3 linked regions of the Lepisosteus oculatus genome follow. The protein of the gene in region 1 purifies or fractionates together with the protein of each later gene. This does not show direct contact. Links are inferred from orthologs where the notes say so. Each region holds a gene or a part of one and is shown in the gene's direction. Other genes may lie near its edges. The genes, in order: sumo1, hypoxia-inducible factor 1-alpha and mitfa.

Region 1 (6,950 bases):
ACAGAATGCATCATCGACAGCAGAGTCAAAAGTAAAAACTACCATGTAGGCCTTAACTGCATTTTTTTACAGGTTTCCTTTTTTTGTTTGAGTACTGGTTGTCAACGGCTCTCACAGAACATAACTGTAAAAGTTAGGGGTGAACTAACTAAGGATATGACAATATCTGTGTATTAAACTAACAGAATAAAAACAGTTTCTCACAAAAACCTTTTTTGTATGTTCACGTACAAGCACAGGAAGCAATAAAACCAAAAACTTTTCGCATCAGGAGACGCGAAGAACCACATACATGGAAGTGCAGGACTGTTTGGGATACCACTAAATTCTTAAATTGAACCCCAAAAAACATCGTACCTGCCAGTGCTTCTGTGGTGTCCTGGAATTTTTCAAAGTGTTTGAGTTTCACTCTGGCAAAAGAAAGATTAAATTCAGATCAAACAATCAGAAAAAAAGAACTGACTTAAGCGTATTCAAAACACTTGATAAAATAACACATATCCAGAGCAGACTGTTTAATCTGTACAGGAATTGTCACCAGCCTAACACAGTACTCTGTCAATCAGATTAAATAAAATGACTTGTTTTATACAATTCTGTCCAAAGTATGCATACTGTAGGTTTTCCACTTAAATAAAAGCTTAGTCTAGTTTCTGGGAAGTTGAAGATTTATACAGAAGGGTTGATTTCAATCCTAGAGGTTGGTAACATACCTACAAGGTAAAAGAAAAGCCTTTAAACGTTTAAAAAAACCACAAAATGAAAATGTATTTACATTTTATTTGCTCTTTCTGGAGTCTGGAATTCTTCCCACAATTTGTCCACCTCCTGGAGTTTTTTCTCATTGAGAACCTGAAAAAAAAGTTTAAGGGGTTAGAAACACTAAAAAGAGTCGCCTGTCGACTCACTATGGATTAACTCATTTTTAAACAGATCTTGGGCTACACTGCTTATCCTTACCGGTTGTCTTATTCGACATTTTCTTATTAAACGATTTTGACTTCGACCATTCCATCAAGACAGATATATCAACTCCCACTCCCACTGAGCGTTCAATAAAGTTCCCCAATGTAGCTGCACCTATTCCCCGTCAAGCCAACAGAACGAACGTCTCTTTACCTGCTTTGTAACATTTTGTGTAAATGCAGAACTACATTTTCCCTCATACTTTTCACCCTGGAATTAACGTCTTTTTCTTGTTGCATCAGCAAAGTTTAACAAGAAAAAAACACAACGTGAAATCGTGCCCTGCGTTAGAGATCATATTGAGATCAAACACGCCGAGCCAAAAGTTGTTCCAATGCAATACACCTCTAACCATCTAACGATACTTTTCTGAAACTGTTTAGCGTTTCGCTAAATATATATATAAAAAGTGGACGATCGTTTCTTTCATGCGCCCAGAATTCTGAAACCTTTCAAAAAAAGGTTTATTAGCTGCGATTTTCAGATTCTCTCTCTACTCGTCTCAGCAGGCTGTTTTCATTCCGATTTCTGCAAGATCGAGCAATCAGATTTGGAAAGCATGAAAGTTAAAAGTCCTCGACCTAATGCCAAGTTACATGTAACCCATGTGGCCAGTCTGCACGCAACGTGGTAGCAGAGAGCGACGGGCCCGCACTCCAAACTTCTTCCCCTACACCTTTTCGTAGACAATTTCGCACACCAAGATCACCGCGTACCACCATTCATGCCCAGATCATTTTAATTTCCCTTAAAACACTTTTATTTGAATGAACATATCGGCAACGCGGGCAAAAAGGACACGCACACGGTAGCACAAGATGGTCCCTTTGCTCTCCTTAGTTCAAATTACTGAAGCCCCCACCCATTTATTTTTCCTTACCTTAAAAATTGCATAGCCAGCGGCGGTCTCGAACAGCACCAACATCTTCGATCATCTAAGGACGTTTTCCAGCCTCTAAACGTGGATTTTTCCTTTACTTAGGATCGGCACGCTCCTCCACCACGGGCTTCTGCAGAGACCCTCCACGCGGTGTAGGATCCCGAGACTGCGCACTCCAGGCGCCTGCGCGCGGGGGCGGAGCCGCACACCGGAAACGGAAGGGCTGTGTTAGGAACCGGAGACGAGACCCAGGAGGCACGCTCGAGTGTTTCCGAACCTTTCCGAGTCTTTCCGAAGGCCCATTGAGTGTTTTAAAATGGTTTCAATGTAATGGGTGCTCATCAAGAAAGATCCGACAATACACTTTTGCCTGTCTCGCCTCGCACCTTTTTGCTTATCAGATACAAAAAACCCGTGAATATATCACAAATAATCACAAATAAATTTGACATTGGATGGACGGACATTGTGCTTTGGCTATCCAGTCAAAGCGTTTTGATGGCATACTTATTTCGAAAATACGTCACACGCGGTTGTGTTATATCAAGCCTTCAGCTCACGCAAAAAATGTCAGTTGCATTAGACAAGGACGTTTATTTAAGGGAATAAATAAAAGAAGAACTTTTAGTCTTCTGATGCTGAATGTTTTTTGTATAATGATAAGAAAGAGACACTCACGGCTCTAAGTCTTGACACTGTACAAGTGTATTCATTTATACTATTAATTTACTACATTGGCATTGATCAACAGTTCTTATTTTAAAGTTCTTATACAGACATACTGTATTTAAGGGATGCACTTTGGTGCAGTGGTTAGCAGTCTCACAGTGCTGGGGTTCAATTCCTGGGCTGCTATCTCTGTGCTCAGTTCTACCTCTGGGTGCTCTTCTTTCCTCCTACAGTTCAAAGACATACTGTTAGGTTAAATGGCTTCTGGGAAGATTGACCCTGGTGTGTCTGTCTGCCCTGTGGTTGACTGGTGTAATGGATGGATGATTTTTCCCATAGGAAAACAAGACCCGGCCTATAATAAACACCAGTCCTTAAGAGAACACGGTATTCAGCATTGGTCATCACAGTCTCAGGTAGAACATTTACAGTATGAGCTGAAGAAAGCAGATTTCAGGCACAGATCACACAACCAAAAGACGTTCGATATGAGAACCTTAGGATGAGACGTAAAACCGAGTTCCTGACTCTCTGTGGTCATTAAATATGCCAGGGCGTTTCTCGAAAAGAGTAGGGGGTGTAACCCCAGCGTCCTGGCCAAATTTCCCATTGGCCCTTACCAATCATGGCCTCCTAATAATCCCCATCTATGAATTGGCTTCATCACTCTGCTCTCCTCCCCACTGAGAGCTGATGTGTGGTGAGTGTACTGGTGCCCTATGGCTGCCATCGCATCATCCAGGTGGATGCTGCACATTGGTGGTGGTGGTAACTTGTGTAATGTATTAATATAATATTAGACTACTGAACGTATATAGTAGATACTATATTGGTTCTACTAGATACTATATTGGTAAGTACTATTGTAGCTCTACAGTATAGTATTTCAGTACACCTCGCAGTGTATACCATAATATTTCACTCTAATATTTAACCATATCACAAATATATATATATAAAGTCCATACTATAGTAATGTTACAGCACATACTGTACATTAGTTAAGAATTTCCCAAATTATAGATGTTATAAAATATAAATTATATTATCATTCAAATAAACAAAATGTTATTTTAGTTGTTATATTAATCTATAGACTCATACTACACGTCCATCCTATAGTAAAGTGCTGTAATTTTCCAAACATGTTTTATATTGTCTTCTAAGCTTTCACGAATAGGGCATGAGCTAACTTTATAAAACAGAGCTCTTCAAAGAATATATGCGTCCTCATTATTTTCACTGGGATGAATCTTAATCAGACCCGGTACCTTTGCCAACGTGGGTCTCCCTGTAAGCAGGATGTACGAAGAGGACCATCCGAAAAGCACATTTTAAAAACAAAATTGTTTTCTCTTTGGCTACACGACCAAATGACGTCACTTCCCGAGGAAGTCCCTCCCCGATTCCAATGAGGTCAGTGTCTGTGTTTTTGTGGGGGGATTGTAGGAAAGAGAAGAGCGCTTAATACTAAATAACATCATCATAAAATATCAAAGATTTAGTTGTAAGAGTCACAGGGAAAAACAGAAGCAAGCATGTCTGATACGGTAAGTCTGTGATCTGTGTATAGGAACTAAACATCTATATTAGCTGATCAGACTCGGTGTTTTCGGGCGCATAGCGTGCGTGTACTGTGAATCAAGATACAGCCTGAATAATAAATAATTATATTTTACTTTTATGAAAAAAATACAGTATATTAACCAGTAATGGAATGGGCGTTTAAAACTTTGTCAGAAACTAACGGGTCTGTTCAAGAGGAGTTGAGATATCTGCAATTTACAGCGCCGATGTGCTTAGGGGTACTGTTCTTGATGTCTCAGAATTTAAACGAAATAATCTTTAAAAAAATCGAGAGTGGGGAAGGCTGGGTTGTCTTTCGGTACAGTGCATGCATTTGTTTTGCCGAAAAATTAACAAATGTGTAGGGATTGTTTTTTAGGACTCTTCGGTATTCAGTGAAAAGCGATCGTGGCCCACTGGTACTGTCGGGAGTGAAACTGAAAATAAATGGATTGTTGTAGTTCGGAGTTGAAATGAAGGTTTTTGTTACTTAAGTGAAGTTAATTTCCTTCCGAAGCTGAACAGTAGATTTTGTTCTTCGCAACGTAATAAAAGGGCAGGAAAGCACATCGAGTCCTTAAAATAGGTGTCGAGACACAAGTAACTGCTTAAGGAGTTGTATTTAACATAAGCGGTAGTACAGTGATGGATGATAGTAGTTTGAACATTTTTATGTTTTCATATTTTTATGATTGTCTTTTAAGATGAGAAAAAGGGCACTAAAACCACCATATTGCTTGATATAATAGATACAATAAACGTATGTCTGTTGGCCTCTACAACTCTGGGATTTGTAGAAAGCAGCAGAAATGGCTTCCTACTTGCCTTTGCATATATTTGCCTCTGCCTTCCTTACATGAGTAGAGCCTGCAGTTATGGTGAACTTGGGCCATGAGAGTGTTGTGTTGTATGGTCCCATAGGACCGCAGTTCAGCAAAAGGTCTGCATCTCTATACGATTCTTGCTTTTGAGCTTCAGAAAGAGTTAACTCAATTAAAGAGATCAAGTGGAAAGGATCTTAAAGAAGGCTGCAATCCATCACCCCAGATCTGATAGATGCTTTAATGGCAAGACACTGGGATAATGAGTGGGGGAAAAAAAGGAATTATTTCTGAAGTTTGTGTGGACACAAAGACGAGGCCTACAGTGTAAAGTTGAGCCTGTCTGTTAAGATTATTGGCAATTCTGTCATGGATTGGCTCGACACAAATGTGCCGCGAGTCAAGAATTAACTAGTAAAACATACATGTGATATTATAGCTTCACACATTAAGACAGGGAACCCCAAAAAAACGCAAAAGCCCAAAACCCCATATGTTTGTTGGTTGTTTTGCCAGCCGCAGTGCTTATATTTAAGTTGCTGACTTCCAAACACACAAGTAGAGGGATGTAGAAGCCGAACTGATATCCTATAGCCACCTCAAAATCCAGCAGTGGTAGTAAAATAATTTGTTTGCCACATTGTCACGACAACAGCTCTTCGAAGGTTTAGAACTCCCTTAAACGGGTAGATAACAAAGAAACCCTTTGGCGCAGCCCTTAAACTTGCAGGGATTTGACGAAAAAGCGTGTTTGTAGCGCCGCGAAAAAACAGTGAGGTAACTATCAATGAATGTAGTTTCTCTGATCAGAGATTTGGGTGCAGCGCCGGGGCCGTGGGTTAAATTCCTGGAGCTGGGGTGCTGTCTGTGTGGAGTTTGCATGTCCTCCCTATGTGTACGTGGGTTTCCTCTGGTTGCTCTTACAGTCCACGAACGTACCCGCAGTTTAATTGGCCCGAGGGGCGAGTGTGTGTGTGCCCTGCGATGGATAGGCATGCTTTCCTGGGTGAACCCTGACTTGTTAGCCTGTTGTTAGTCCTGATTGGCTCCAGCTCCCCTGTGACCCTGTATCGGATAAAGTGGTTACGAACTGGATGGAGGATCAGAGATTTCAGGTACATTAGGACCTCACTGCAAATTCTTTCTTTGTTTTATGCTCTTTTAAATACTGAGTTAAGTGTTGTATAGCGCCGAATGAGACACTTTCTGTATCGGCCTCTCTGTGTGCATCTGTGAGCTCAGCGCTGTTTATTCAGAAGACAAAAACAGAGATGGAACCAAATATAATCTTAACTGTACAAAGCAGTTGTTATGGATACCACCTATTACACGAATTGTTTCCTGGAATGGGTTTTCGAAGAATTTTACGGTTAATCTTGTAGAACTTTAACCATCACGGGCATAATATTGTAGGGGCAGCTGTTTTCAAAGATCCATACAAACCAAGGATGGGAACAGAGCTTTGTTCTTTTTGACAATATACAGGAGACACAGGCCCAGACAAACTGGAGAATTCTAAACGCAGGTCTGCTCTTTACAGAGGCAGTGTACAACTTACGTACACTTCCTGTATGTTTTCATTAAAGCAATTTTCATTTGTATCCTTCATTATTCATTTTTTTTCCATCCTAGGTATGCTGTGTAAATACTTTGTTTCTGTTTTGACCACTTTGCGTTACAAGCCGATGCTGCTGTTGTGTTACAGATCGATTGCGGGATGTGCAGTTGAAATGAGATTGTTCTGCTGATATCTGAGACTTACATTTAAAAATAATAATAATTGCTTACATTTATATAGCACTTTTCTGGACATTCCACTCAAAGCGCTTTACAGGAAATGGGGACTCCCCTCCACCACCACCAATGTGCAGCCCCACCTGGATGATGCGACGGCAGCCATAGTGCACCAGAACGCTCACCACACATCAGCTATCAGTGGGGAGGAGAGCAGAGTAATGAAGCCAATTCATAGATGGGGATTATTAGGAGGCCATGAGTGGTAAGGGCCAATGGGAAATTTGGCCAGGACACCGGGGTTACACACCTAC
Region 2 (7,526 bases), on another chromosome or scaffold:
CAGCTTTACATGATAAATCACAATTAACATATTTAAGGTAATATGGAAGTTTAGCTGTATTCGCATATAATATTACTACTACAAATAATAATAATAATAATAATAATAATAATAATAGGTTGTGTGATTTCAACATTTTTTCTGCAATATCTTTGGTAACACAATAGTGGACTATTGGCTTTTCAGCCACAGTCCCTTCAAGAAAAATCATGCAGTAAATACAGGAAGGGAATCATACAAGTACAGAACTGTAAATTCCCTTCACTTCAGTTTTTCTGTCTGAGTTTTATTGTGCTAATATACTTAAGACCAAAATGATGAAATGACAGGAACATTTTAGTCTTGTGATAATCCTCTTTTGCCCTGGCAATTTGCTAGCGGTGTTTGGGGGATTTGAAATATCAGAATCTTCCTATTCTGCGGAGCAGGCTTAAGAGCTGAACAGCAGTTAGTGGACCGATAACTTCAAGCTCACTTTTCATAAAGGAAAGGAAAGGCTTCATGTTAAATCTGGGACACTGGAAAAAACCAACCAGCTTCAATATGTTTTAACGTTTTAATACCTCTCAGGGCTTTTAAAATCCAGTATTCACCAGCAGACTTCCTGCTCCTGTTGGGTGGACTTGATATGAGAGCTGATAATTGAGCAACCCTTGATAAATAAGATGTCTTTTGCAGGCATTGTTTTGACAACATGAAAGAGCAGGAATTCATTCATGATTTATTCCCCACACAAAGTTGCAGAGAGTTTGGCTCAGATGATAACGTGTTGAGAAATCCAAACTATTGCCAGTAATCCTATCACTTCACTTGGCAGTTAGTGAAAGGGACTTTAAAACAAAGAAACCAGGCCTCTCAAGGGGACTTTTCATAGAACCATTGGAAGCACTACTTTCTGACCTCTGTTTTTAGCAGTGAGCACTGGAACGTTTGAAAACCCAAAAGCATTTTTAGACTCCTTTTTTTTTCCACCTCAACTTTGCCTGTGCTGAGTAATAGCTGGGCTTGTGGCAGGATCTAAATTTTAACCCCTAACTCTGGCCTCACCAGCCTCGGATGATGCATGCTCATGAGACTCCCCCCCTCCTCCCACACGCTGCGGTGTCCTTCAGACCGGGGGGCAGAGAGGGGCTGTTTTCCATGCAGGTGCTCACTTCGGGCCAGCAGCTCCCGAATGACAGGGACGCCATCGACAGGGAGCCAGGCAGGGAGCGAACGGCCCCACGCAGAGTAACACCGATTCCGCCCCCCCCCGACTGCGCTGCTCTCGGTGTCGCTGGCCCAGAGCCCAGCTCCAAACAAGACTGGAGACGCAGACAGCTCGGATTCCTCTATTGACCCTGAGGAAAATCAATAGGCAGACTGTGGACTGAGAAATTCAATACCTTTCTGCCTTCTCACCCCCTCCCACATGGATTATATATTTTTTTCTGGAAATATTAATGACTTGGCAAACAGCTTATTTGTTCTGAACTGCATGAAAGGTGCCTAATTCTGATGATCTTACTTTGGGAATGCTCCAGCGCAACTTGAGGAGCCAAGAAGGTACTGCAGTGGTTGGCAGAGTTAGTTATAACGTACGTGTTTAGATTCCTCTCTCTATAAAAAAAAAATGCTCTCTCTTCACAGAAACGTCCATGTGGGACTTCACATTTTTTCCGTGCTCTGTAAGTGCCAGGCTGCGCAGTGTGTCCCACGCACGGCTGACACGTTCCTCTCCTCAGGGAAGAGTTCACTTTCCACGACAGGCAGACTTTCCTTAAGATGCAAGGAGAGGCTCAAAGTCACTGCCTTCCTATTCTACCGCAGGCCATGCAGTGAACAGGCTAGCACCCATCTGCTCTGCATTACAGACTGAAGCGGATATTTTAAACCATGGGGAGTGCTTATGTTCGTCTTGATTTCAATGAACACATAAAGTTAAAGATCACCTGTTGCTATTTTAAATTAATTGCAATCAAAGTGAGTAGATACTTTGGTCTATTTAGATAAGTGTAGAGGAGACACATATTTTGTACAATACCAAGTACTGAGAACTCTGCACAGAAGTAGTCCAGCATGTTTGCGATCAATTCGACAGTGCTCACAATATTCACGCGATATAATTCCTTTCACACATTGTTAAGAGTTCATCTTTCCACAAAACAACCTAAAAATCCCGTTTCGCTGCTGTTTTTCCGGAACAAACAGAACAGAATGAGCGGGCGGTTTACATACACCTGGGCTTATCAGGGGAAACATTACATTCACAGAGTCAGACTGTTTTCACAGAAGAAAGGCTGAACGTCTGGAAAATACTATCAAACCTGTTGGATGAAATGTGACCCATGAAGAAAGGAGATTTGATTATTTCTGTAGGGAAATGCATGTATTCTCAGAGGTTTGGGCGAATTATTTTATCATTTTTATATTTGGATATATAACCTAAAAATAACAGGTCAGTGTATATATAGATCTCCTAATGCCTTCTTTCAAAGGCAATGCTACTATCTCCATCCATTTTCTAAACGCTCCATCCACCACAGGGCTGTGGAGCAGAATGACTCTATCCTGGCAAGCTCAGACACAGGCCAGGACGGTGCCAGTCCATCGCAGGGCAGACACACAGACACAAATGCACATCAGGGCCACTTTTTTCCCATAAGCCAATTAACCTGCCAGTATCCCTTCGAGTGACCTGAGTACTGGTGAGACCCCACACAAAACCAGGAGAACATACAAACTCCAAGCAAGCAGCACCCCCAGATCCGGGAATCGAACCCAGGGCCCAGCCGCTCAAAGGGAGCAATACAAACCGAGCCACCGTGCCGCTCACTAGCACTTCTGTCACCTCGTGCACCCAAGTCACTGCAGCTCCCCGCCGTGCTGAAGAGAGACAGGGAAGTGAGCGGAGTTAGTGGCACCATGGGGCAGAGTGGTGGCCCTCTGGCTAAGGATCTGCTCCTGTTGCTGGAAGGTTGCTAGTTCAAATTCCATGGCTGGCAGAGGAATCCTACTCCGGTGGGTCCCTAAGCAAGGCCCTTAACCCCAGCTGCTCCAGGGGTGCTGTATAAATGGCTGCCCCTGTGCTCTGACTCCAAGCTTCTCTCTCCCCACCTGTGTGTCTCATGGAGAGCAAGCTGAGGTATGTGAAAGGACAAATTCCTAATGTAAGAAATTGTATATGGCCAATAAAGTGATCTAATCTTATCCTTTATGAATGTGTTTGGGGACCTGTGTCACAAATGGAGCTAGTCTGCCGGGCAGGCCTCGTGCTCCATGCTCTGTCCTCAGCAGGGCAGGTCTAAGGCTAACCAAATTCCACAAGCTGCATACACGACACACCGCTCACTGACGCTGACTGGCAGCTAAACCCGTAAGGAGATTTCAAACAAAGCTAATTAGGGAGCCCAAAAAGACTGATAGCGGCAGTCACATGGCCTCTTCATTCATAATACTTGTGTCTGTGTGTGTGAGAGCAGGGGGGTTAAATGTACCTGTATTCATTTATTACTTCCTACTATGTTTTGTACCTGTATTCATTTATTACTTCCTACTCACTATGTTTTAATTTTGGAAGCGTTGTTACTTTAACCTGTCTCATAATTCCAAGCATTGTTTTCAATTGTTACTTGCCGCAGACTTTTGCATTTGTCGGTCATGTCGGTAGAACACGTTTTAAGGCAAAGTAATCTTAGAGTATCTGTCTTTGGCTTCATATACTCCTAACCTAATGTAACATTAATTGTCAGGACCCCAGCAGATTTAATGCGATGCAATGTAATTTAATTCCCGAACACTATATTCCCGAGCATTCCTGAGGGCAATTTTAATCTCAAGCATGCACTCAATTCAAAGAGTAAAACAGCCAAAAACTACAAAATCAAAACAAAAACAAGATGCCGGTCAGACTGCAGGTGACATCCTGACTTTAATATTTTATCAGACTTCGATATAATATAATAGTACAGTTATTTCACCCTCAAAGGTATATTTATTAAGCAGATTTATTAGAATGTTTTAGTGTTATGAATGCGACTTAAATTGTTTTTTATGGGCTTCAGGTCTGAATGAACTGCTTTTTTCCGACCAGTATCTGTACTTAAAAAAAAAACATTTTAAAAATATGACGTTTAAAATATTAAGAAATGACAAAAGGTGTGTACGGCATTTGCCTACAAGACGTTCAAATGTTATGAAATAATGTCATTTTATCAACAGGTTAATAACATCTTTTAACTGTTGCCAATGTGTATATATATATACGTTTACCGAAGGGTTAATCATCTTCATCTTTAAATCAAACCACGGAATCACTTCGGCCTGACGCAACCAGCGACGTCCCCTGCCACATTTCTGTTTCGGGGAACGCGCACGCATTTTACCTGAATTTTGATCTCCGGGAGGCTCGGCCGGGGCGTGCGCGGCCCCGTCCTGGAGGCATGTGACTGCGCGCCCCCGAGAAGGAGCGAGTACAAACTACAGTGTAAGGAGCATCTCGGACGCGGCGGAGAGCTTGGACCGTTTCTCCTGAACGAATCGCACACACCGGCTCGAAACAGATGTTGTGACCTTCAGGCACCTGGAGGTTTGACCTCTTGCTACCACACACGTCAAAAATAGTTCTTAAAGTCAGGGCACCTTGGTTCGTTTCGTCTTCCTGTTGGATTATAAACCGTCTTTTCACTCTCGGGCCTGGGGGAACTCTTACTGTTTGGGAGATCCTAGCTGACGTCTTTCATGCGATAATGGACACGGTCGTAGTCACAGAAAAAAAGAGGTGAGTTTGAGCTTTCTTGTTGTTCACGGGAGGGGGGTTGTGTCGTTTAAACTGGCCCCTGGCTCCGTCCCCGCTGTTTTCATGTGCTGTGGAGAATTTGCTCCCCATTTTTGTGTGTGTATTTTGTCGTATGAATCATTTCTTGGCCGTGGCCACGTCGCCATTTTGTCTGAGTGTTTGGTATGGCCGCGCAGGACAGTTCTGGTGTGATTTCGTTAAGGAGAGGGGGGGACACTTTGATTGATTCGGGACACTTGTTTGATATATCTCGTTTTCCTGCAGCCGGGGGCTGCCTGTGAGGCGAGGCGCGGTTTGTAGCCCCCCTCGTCCTCCTCAAACACGGAGGGGAGATCGTTGCAGGAAGGAAATCCCGAAGTTGTGCGCTAAGTAGTTGCCTGGCCCCTTGACGTTGTGCTGCATTTCAGCCGCCGGTTTCCCGAAGAATCAGAAATAAAAGTGAGACAGACGTCGCTTGGGAACTCGATAAGAATGTCAGATGATTTGCTGTGCGGGCGATGCTTATTAATACTGCATGGGCGCTGGGTCGATGGGGGAAAGGCGACCGGCTGAAGAGATGAATGGAGGCTTTGGTGGTTTGAGCCCAGGGTCTTCGGGACGTGTTCCCCACGCCAGCCCCGGGGAAATGAACCAATTTTCGTCGGGTCTTTTACACCTTTCGCGAATCCGTGCGCGATCAGGCTTTGGGGCTGTCTTGGCACTCGCGGAGTTCACTGCGTGTGTGGGTTTTCGGGGGTCCCTCGGGGATATGGAGCCCAGGATTTTGGAAACAACCATGTTATTAGTGTTGTGATTGAAAATGGGAACCCTCCTCTTTCGTGTGCCGGCTTGAGGAGCTCTCTCGGCCAGTTCTTCATGGTGGCCCGGAGTGAGTGGAGAGCGGGCTGGCAAGTCGGACCTTACAGCGCAGTTACTTCCCGATAATGATCTCTTTCCATCTCTTGTTTTGCCAGCGATGGGGGATGAGTAGGGCAACAACAACAAAGAAGGTGTTGTGTACAGGTAGACGGTTTTATGAAGATGTTGTAAGACCTTTTGTTGTTTTGAAACGAGATATTTTTAGACATTCTTCCCTGTAGGAAGAGGGGTTGTCATATTGCCATTCCAAAAAAAAAGAGCCTAAAGAAATGAGCCCAAAAAAATGAACAGTGCGTTTGTTTTTTTTTTGCTTCAATGCTTCAATGCTTGATAGGTGGTGAGCGTTGCTGGTAACAAGGCTTGAAAAAAAGACTGGTGTTTCTGAGAAAGAAATTGTCACTTCTGCTCTTAGCGTATAGATAAGAGGCAAGTGTCTTTGCGTCACAAATATAGCCAAGAGGCTCGGTTTGGTCACCCTTCCAGCTTGTAACAAAGCGGTTTAGGTGGGAAATAAGAGTTTTGAGTTTTGTTTTTAATGGCAAGATGGAAAACTGGTAACTGTTTTCTGTCGGGGCAAGTAAATCTTATTCCCAAACTTTCCCGAGTAAGTTACAACAGCTGACTGCATGGAGCAATATCTATCATGGAAATACTTAGTTCTTTCTTGATAGCAACGAGCTAAATTTCGAGCAGGCGATGAAAACGGCTCGTTTTTTTACCTTGCCTCATATTTTGAAACCAAAGATTTTATTCCAGGCAGGCGTAGTAGTAATCTCAGACGGAAATAGGCGAGTGAGTGTTTTGGATATTGCATAAGTTTCACGGAACAGTGTGGTGTTTGTACAGTTTGTGCTGATGTCCCAATAAAGTAGTAAGAAAGTGAAGGTATTGAGTGTTTATGCTGCCACTAGGAAAAAAACTTGTTAGAGACACTGGCAAAAGAGCTTGTATTTCCGCAGTGCATCAAACCCTGATATCATGATATATGCATGTAGTATTAACAGATCAGGGGTTTTATCAGCTTCTGGCTTTGGAAAAACAATAGTTTATTGATGACAAAATTAATGGAACAACATAGAGCAGAAAATGAAATTCTCTGACTTAAAAGTCTTTATGAGCAACAAGGACTATAGTTACAGGGACACAAGAGCTACAGTTCCCAGACTTTTGTCTGAAAATTCATAACCTCTGGCAGAACATCATGTAGAACAACTTCTTACATTTGCCTGAAAATATTCTTGTCCATTGCAACATTAAGTAGGCCTACATGCAGTGTACAGATACCAAAAATGGAAATGCAGCATTGGCTTGATTCTCCTCAGATTTTCCCTAGCTTTCGACTCACTAACCCACTATCAGTCATGTTTCTAATTCTTGAGAGTACTTTGTCATGAGCAGCACCATCTGGAACCATTCTGCAGATGCGTAGGCGTCTCTTGTGTTCAGTCCATTTTCCCAAGACCCTTCCCATCAAAGGGTGTTGAGTCCGCCGTGTGTACAGGGCTGACGCAGTGCTCCAGCTGAAGCCTTGGTCCACCACTTCACATTGGCCTGGTTAAGAACCCTTCCTTTGGCTTTGTCTTAAATTCTGGTTGGGAATCCCTTGCACCTATTCACCTGAGAAATGTGGTAAAAACAAACCCAACCAAGAACCAGTTTGTTTTCCTATCGGGTTCAAAGAAACTATGGCTTCTTGCTGATAGCAAGAAGAAATAAGTTATAAGACATCATGACTTCACTTAATACAGTATTTGTTTTACTATAGTATATAACTAATTTATATCTGATTTCTCAAATGTGTGTTACCTTGTGTTCTGAAGTTCATGTTTATAATATAGTATTTACAATACCGTTGTGGCTAAGTGAATCTAGTATGCTCATCTAAATTAAG
Region 3 (7,680 bases), on another chromosome or scaffold:
GACTTTACAATGCTTAGACAATTATTAGAGGGTGTCTTCTTTATCATACCTGGTGAAAAACAAGTTTAGTTTATTTGAAAACTGAAGTTTTATTCATTTTCTTAAAATATTGGACGAATATCGTTAAGGTCTCAGGACCCAGAAAAACACTGCTAATGAGAAAAAACTTAACACCAATAACACCAACAGGACTTAACACCAATAAATAAAGAGAAAGGGTCCAGCTGAGGTGACTACACGCATGATACATGCATACTGGAGATGCCTTAATTTTTCTTCTCTTATCACTTCTGATTACAAATGGCTCACTGGGGTGCTTTTACAAACTTCATAAGAGATTTCTTGGGCTTCACTTGGCTGTGGAAAAGTCAAAGCAAGACCCCTGAGCTCTATTGTAAAGCATTTTCAATGCAAGCACTGGTCACCCCTAGCAGCATGCTCTGACTGCTTATATTGGAGTCAAGCCTACAAATCCCAGTATCCTTCTTTTACAGATTATGATTTCCAAATCAGCTCTGTACCCCTGGGTTTGGTGTATGGACCTATTGTTTTGTTTCTCTGTACTAAAGCTTCAGGAGCTGAGAAGAGCCAAGCTAACCAATATTCCAGGGACTTTCTCAAGCTTGTTTGGAATTAGGTAAAAAAGAGTGAATTAAAAAACACTACTGGAGTCCTTTAACTTTAAATCGGCACATTTCCCGATGTATATTAGGTCTGAGATAGACTGACCCTGTAGACAACAGTTTCCGGTTCTTGTAAGTCAGCAGTGACATGATGCATTGTCAACTTAACCAGAACACTTTCCTCTCTATTACACTGTAAACGTCCAGTGTGTTCCCTGCCTTGCACCTGTTACTTGCCGGGATAACCCTGAATTGGAAGAAGAGGTTAGAAAATACATGGATGGATGTTGTAAGAATCCATCTGGTGTAATTTTACAGATTGCATAAAGATAATTTAGAATTTGTTCAAGATTACACATTAAATGTAACCCATGCAACACTAATAATTTTTTCCACTTCTTTTCTTGGTCTTTGTTGATTTAAATTTACATTTAATTGAAACACTTAATGCTTTATTACATCACACAATGAGGTTGATGTGCTGGAAATACATTGTATAAAGATTTACAACAATAAAGTTGGACCTGGCTTAATCAAAGGACTGTATTAATTGAATCTTTTTGGATTTGAACAGAGAGGATTCTGTAAACTTTAACAAGGTCTTCAAATTCCTGAATGCTATTGACTAAGTCATCACTGGGCACCAGCAGAATTAGAAACATTTTATTTGCCAAGTACAAGGAGTGTAATATGGTGTCTTGGTGTAAAAACAGAAACAACCAACAATACAATACACTTCACACAAAGAGGTGGCAACACGAGGACCAAGAACGTGAACAGAAATTATTTTTAAGGTCATTTTAAGACTTAAAACAGGTAACAAAGAATTATGGGAGTCTGGAACCAGCTCCCATGTCATGTGATTGAAGGTGGCACCATGGATTTTTTTTACTCTTTATGGCCTCTTTAGAGCCCAGTAGAAAGTCTATGAGCTCTGAATCTGAGTTTCTAGCCTGGCTGGACTGCACAGTCATGTCAAAAGACATTGGACTGCAGAATCAAAGTGGACATCAGCCAGAGTTAATCAGACTCTCTGAGAGTCAGATTTGAATTGTGTGCAATTAAAAAAATTAAATATTGGCCATATTCAAGGTGCACACTCTGCAGAGTTTTCCATTGGTTTAATTGAAAGAAAGAAGTGTTTTATTGAGTATGGCAAAACATACAGTAAATATCTTTTTAATTGAACTCCTGATTGATTGTAGCTGCATCACTATTATGTGAATTTGTCTCACCCAAAAAGTGTATAAAAGTGAAAAATGTATAAAATTGCTAATTATATGTATCTAATGAAACAATATACTGTATATGCACATCTTATAGATAGACAGAATATTAAACTTCTAGCACCCAAACAAGCAAGTTGTACTGACAGACCATCTCTTATTTGTAACCTTTCATATGCACTTCAAACAACTGAGTATTTCTTAAAATGTAACCGCTTCATAATAAATCCTTTCTGATGTTCATTTTCAATTCAAAACAGTTCAACTCAGCATACAAGCTGTGTAATGACAAGCTTGTGGTTTGTCAATACATTTTGTTCTGAATGATAGCTATTCACCTTCACGCATTGTGCTGTTGTATTGACAGCAGAGTTAATTACAGCTTACAAAGGCTGTGAGCTGTTGGGATAATGTTCAGCAAACTCACTCTTTTGTGGAACACATGTTAGCACATACTCGTTAACAGAGCAGAACACCGGAGAAGAATGAGAAATTAAAATTTCCCTGTTAAACTCTTTGGATAAAGAAATCTACATTTCTTTACCTTCACATTCAGTTTTTCATGACCTTGTTAAAATGGTACAATTGAACATGAACTCAGGAACAACCCAGAACTCAGAACTACGCAGAAGAACTCAAAGGTTTATTAACAACAATAACAAGAAGCCTATGAGATACTGCACACACTAAAATAACCATAACTATGGAGCATGCAGCAATTAGTTTCTTGTGTACAATCCAAAAAGATGTTTTATGTGCTAAGTAATCAACACAACTGACCAAAGACTGGTCAAGGACTAGACTACTGTAGATGGACATGTAGACAAAGCATTCCAGGCAAGGGCTCAGCTGCATAAATGGAATTAGTGAAAAGACTGCTGGAGGCTTGGTGTAACACACTTAATCTGAAAATAAACACTGACTCTGTTTAACATCCTGGTTAAGCTCCAACGCTTAGGCAGCGTTTCCACAGAAAGAAATTGAAGATGGGAATTGAAGGTGGCTCGATGCCCACAGTAAAAACATTTATCTACTGAAGGATGAGAACAACATGCAATATTGTATGAGCTATAACACCTCACAAAACACCAAATAATCCCCGTTTTACTATAAAATGTCTGCCTACACGATATTTAAAAATATTTTTTTATATCTTGGATTTAACCTTCTCAATAAAAGAAGTTCATCCTTTTAATTAGTAATATTTCTTATATTTATGGATCACATTTCACCATGCTCTTTCTTGTCCCGAAAAAACATCTTATTAAACAAAAGTGTTAGAACGACTTTATTTTTCGCACTTGATAAATTAATGCTGACCCTCTACCCAAATTGTGTATTGTATAAAAGTCCAATAATTAATTTCTTCTCATGCCGATATAAAACACTCCATAACTAGTTTTGCGGTTGTAAAGGTCGAAGTCCTTTTAGAAGCGTTGTAATGCCACCCTCTGGCAGGGATAGAATATTACACGATCTGACCCGAAGAGAACCCATAAAGATCGAAGTTGGTTTTCGTGTCAAACCAGTAGGCGGCAGGGTTTTGAGTATAGCAATTCACGTTATGTTAAATACATTTTCAGGTATTTACATTTAGATTTAACATTTACCTTTCCCCCTTGGCTATAATATATTGGATAAACAGAAGCATTCAGGACAGCTATACTTTGCTTATTCAATGCAAGTAAAGTACGACCTCACTTAAATCATACTAGTAAGTCCATTAAGGAAAGCTATTCCAGAGAATCGTACAGTATATTCTGCTTGATTTCAATTATCTTTTGAAGTTTTTAACTTCTGTAAAATATCCTATTTTTTATTTTTTCAATTATTACATTCGTAATATTTACGTGGTTATACTGTTTTCTCCTGCTGCACTTGGAAAATTATCACCGCCAGCAGCTACACAACGAAATAAGTAACAATCCTATAATCACGAAACCTTTTTTAAATGAAATGTGTCTGAAAATAATATGAAGTAATTAGATGATAATTATTTGTGAAGATAAAGAACTTCTTAAAGCTTTGGATAGTCGCAGTTTTGCGGTCATGACCCACTTCGAGCAGTGGATTCAGAGGACTGAAAATAAATCTACTTAAACTGGAATGTGAAAGTTCTGTTTCACTGAACTTTAATGGTAGTCCAAGCACACAAACAGCCCAATAAGAACGATTATGATGACGATGACGATTTTCACCGTTTCACGGGTTGTCACTTTCAGCACATATAGCATGGCAGGGTTTCTGAATTTGCCAAATGGTAGAATTAATGCAAAATGCTAAAATCTTTGCTAACACGATATTAGACAGCCTCAGACAACAAGGGTTAATTACCGTAACAGTACCCGAGTAACAGTTCGGGTTGACAACGAAATTATCTGAATCACAAAAAAGGCTGCATGCGCACGTTTGGCACCATCACTGATACTGTGTAGTTTATGAACGCAGAAGAATCGTCAGTCGATACTTCAGATTCTGAAGAGCTGTACCCTTATTACCCGGAGCTAATGCTCCATAGGGGGCTATAAACAATTACACAGCAATTTCCACTTGCAGAACGTCTTTTCCCAAAGGTCTGAACGCGGCCAAGGAATGAAGACGGTGAAATTCCAATAGCTACTGCGACCAATGAAAAGCTGCTGACATTGACATACTATGAAAACACCATACGCTGGCGACCAACGCTGCAGCTTTGCCGCCTGGGACTTGTAGTTCTTAAGAGCGTGGCTTCCAATTCGATTATGCTTCATTCGACACTCAGAAAAACTACATGTCCTACAAATTCTAGCGCCATCAAGCGTAGGGAGGACAGTGACAGTTTGCCACCGCAGCGGCTGGCACTGTGCGTTTGACACTGATAACATTATTGCGTTTTCTTTTAACATCTGTATTTGTTAAAACGTGACATTGACAGCGGACACAATGCAGTCAGAATCGGGGATAGTACCAGATTTCGATGTCGGTGAAGAATTTCACGAAGAACCTAAAACGTATTACGAGCTGAAAAGCCAGCCTTTGAAAAACAGGTTAGTGCGTAATGTGATGTTAACTAGCTCATTTGCAGTTTGCAGGGAATTGCCTGAGTCGAAAACTCCTAAAAACAATGATAATAAAAATTATGACGATACGGTATTTGTAACAGTGCAGTATTCATTAATTTTTTATAACTGTTCGTATTTTTCTTATTTTGCATATCCCGAAAAATCCCATATGAATGTGTTCCATATGTTAACTGCGTTTTTTGCCACACAGATAATATTCTAAGTACTATGTCATCATATTACTTCCAGTCTACATGAGTTTTCTGGGAGGGTTTTGTTTGCTATCGGTTTTCTATGGGTTTCTTTTACACAGATATAAGCTTTAATTTGGGGTATTGTCTTCCTCAGTATCTTCTATAAATATTGTTAATTTTAAGTTATGATAAAGCTTTAAAGATTTAATTATGCTTTTTAGATTTCTTGTAGAGATATTTAATGATATTTAATGATAAGTCATTTTTACTTCAAAAATGGGATAACTAGAAACCGTTAAGCGTGGATCCATTTATTGATTTAATAATGCTCTATACTTCTTGTGTCTTGTCAGTAAGAAGTAGCTATTAGGAATTGATCCTTAAATTAGGAAGTAACAACTAAAGAAAGGAAAACAAAGAGCTATAATGTATGCATCAGTCTGCAGCTTTAAGAAACAATACGGTGGAAAACGAAAGAACACAGAGTATCATAATTCATCAGAGCAAATTTCCCCTAGAATTTTGCAGATTAATATGACGTGTTATGTAACAGAGACTTTGCAGTTAGGGATCGTTCTTTGTTTGGACATAGGTTAAACTGCTGTAGGTAGACATTTTAATGAATCCATGTCTTCGTTAGTAATTATCTAAAATAATACATTCATTTTACCGTAAGTACGGTGAATGTCCTGACAGTTTGAATTGCATACGTTAAGGAGCACGTCGGAAACTTGAGAGTGCTGACGTGTTTTGGATGGTTTTTGTTTTAGTCTTTAACATCGCACTTCAGAAGATAAGGGTACAATGATTTTTTTAAAAGATAGGTTCATTTAAATAGATAAAATCAATTAAAATGTAAATTGATTTAAATATTTTTCTGACCGTTTTATTTAGTTTTTCAAATAAAGTATTCCTTCTATCCGTGTACAGGCATTCAAAACGTATTGTGAGAATAGGAAAATATTTCCTATTTACTGTACATTGGATTCAGTCCTTTGTTTCATAAGATATTCTACTCTTCTGCTTAACGGAACTAAAGTCAATATTTTGTGTCAGAATTCAGTGTTGCACTGTTGTCTGAAATGGGTGGTAACTTTGTTTAACAAGCCGTCATATTTATTTGTTTTAGAAATTAAACACGGCACAGTGGTGCACTGGTTAGCATGGCTGCCTTACAGCCTTGGGTTCAATTCCTGGACTGCTTTCTGCAGGGAGTTTGTATGTTCTCGCCATGTTCAAATGGGTTTACTACAGGTGCTCCAGTTTCCTCCCACAGTCCAAAAACATACTGGTTGGTTAATTAGCTTCTAAGAAAATAGGCCCTGGTGCAAGTGTGTGCGTGTCTGTGTCTGCATCTGTGTGTACCCTGTGATGCTTGTCTGGAGAGGCTCCAAGTCTTCTGCCATCCTGTACTGGATAAAGATCTAAGTAGATGGATGGATTATTTTGTAAACGATATACAGGTGAAGTGCTCTAAATAACTGAAGACTGGTTGACCTGCCTTAAGAGATTCTAGTAAAAAGGATTCATCCATAGTTATGCCATGTACAGTATAGTTAATAGTCTTGCTTTCTGTTCAAGTAACAGCTTCTTTCTGAAAATGCAAAGTACCTTAATTGTAATACTAAAGTTCTGCAATATCTCCTAACTTATGCTTGTGCTGACAGATAACTACAGTTTAATTACTTAATAGTTCAAAGTTAATTACTGCACTTTATAGTTTACATACAGTATACATTTACAAATGTCATGACTTACAAGTGACTTAAATCATTTCCTAGAGCTACAAAAAAAAAGCCCTTTGAAAGTTTTTCATAATTTGAAAAAGTGAAACACTATTTTAAAGCAATTTTCTGGTTCGGTTCCACTTGCTTTCAAAATTCTGTTTTCTGTTTATTGTCATTAAAACTATAGGCATTAAAAGAAAACTATTCCCATTTTTCAAGTAATTAGGGGACATTTCAAAAGTAACAGGAAAAACAAAGCAAAAAAATGGTTGTATTTGTAATTTCAGAGTCACTGCAGTACCTTATTAGGGATATGTACCTCCTAATATTAGAAGTAATACAGGATACATGTAAAAAGAAATGCTGCTTCCAAAAATCTGTACTCTGTACAAATACATAGTGCTTTCTGTCATCCTCATAGCAGAGGCTGGGACAGGTGAAGCATTGAGCTCTTGTTGCAACCAAAGCATTTTCTCCTTCCAGCTGAACAATGTAAAGCCAGCTGAGTCAGGGCCTTGTTCTAGAGGTAACCTTTCACCCTTTTACTGAGAAGAATAGTTGAAAACCATGAGAGACCAGGCTTTGGAAAGCCAGCAAACTATCAATACAGAGCAGGCTATGAGAGAGTGAATAACATAACAGCAGCACTGGAATATTGCATCTCTGTGCAGGAAAAATACACCGGCATACATGACTAGAGTTCTTGGAATTGATAATTGATTCATTTTTTAATTCAAATGATTTAATCTAATTTCTTGTGGTCAGAATGCTGGTAATACTTTTGGATTCATCTTTTAATTTTAAACTTCTGTGTCTCGATAGCCATGCCTTTTTTTTAGAGTGCGAATACCAGCTAAGAGCTCTAGATC

The links.
Region 2: the proteins of sumo1 (region 1) and hypoxia-inducible factor 1-alpha purify together in Homo sapiens (co-immunoprecipitation; 3 studies listed by BioGRID and IntAct, with this or other methods). This does not show direct contact. The link is inferred for Lepisosteus oculatus from reciprocal best matches to the Homo sapiens genes SUMO1 and HIF1A.
Region 3: the proteins of sumo1 (region 1) and mitfa purify together in Homo sapiens (affinity purification with western blotting; 3 studies listed by BioGRID and IntAct, with this or other methods). This does not show direct contact. The link is inferred for Lepisosteus oculatus from reciprocal best matches to the Homo sapiens genes SUMO1 and MITF.

Annotation. Positions count from the first base shown.
Region 1 is NC_090707.1:34,433,706-34,440,655, forward strand, and holds the start of sumo1 (small ubiquitin-related modifier 1), read left to right. Parts: upstream 1-3,910; 5' UTR 3,911-4,053; coding exon 4,054-4,065; intron 4,066-6,950. Other genes in the region: nop58 (nucleolar protein 58), read right to left, coding at 358-410, 776-852, 1,847-1,891. UniProt on the Homo sapiens protein: Ubiquitin-like protein that can be covalently attached to proteins as a monomer or a lysine-linked polymer.
Region 2 is NC_090703.1:7,462,192-7,469,717, forward strand, and holds the start of hypoxia-inducible factor 1-alpha, read left to right. Parts: upstream 1-4,436; 5' UTR 4,437-4,727; coding exon 4,728-4,759; intron 4,760-7,526.
Region 3 is NC_090699.1:50,486,849-50,494,528, forward strand, and holds the start of mitfa (melanocyte inducing transcription factor a), read left to right. Parts: upstream 1-4,667; 5' UTR 4,668-4,771; coding exon 4,772-4,875; intron 4,876-7,680. UniProt on the Homo sapiens protein: Transcription factor that acts as a master regulator of melanocyte survival and differentiation as well as melanosome biogenesis.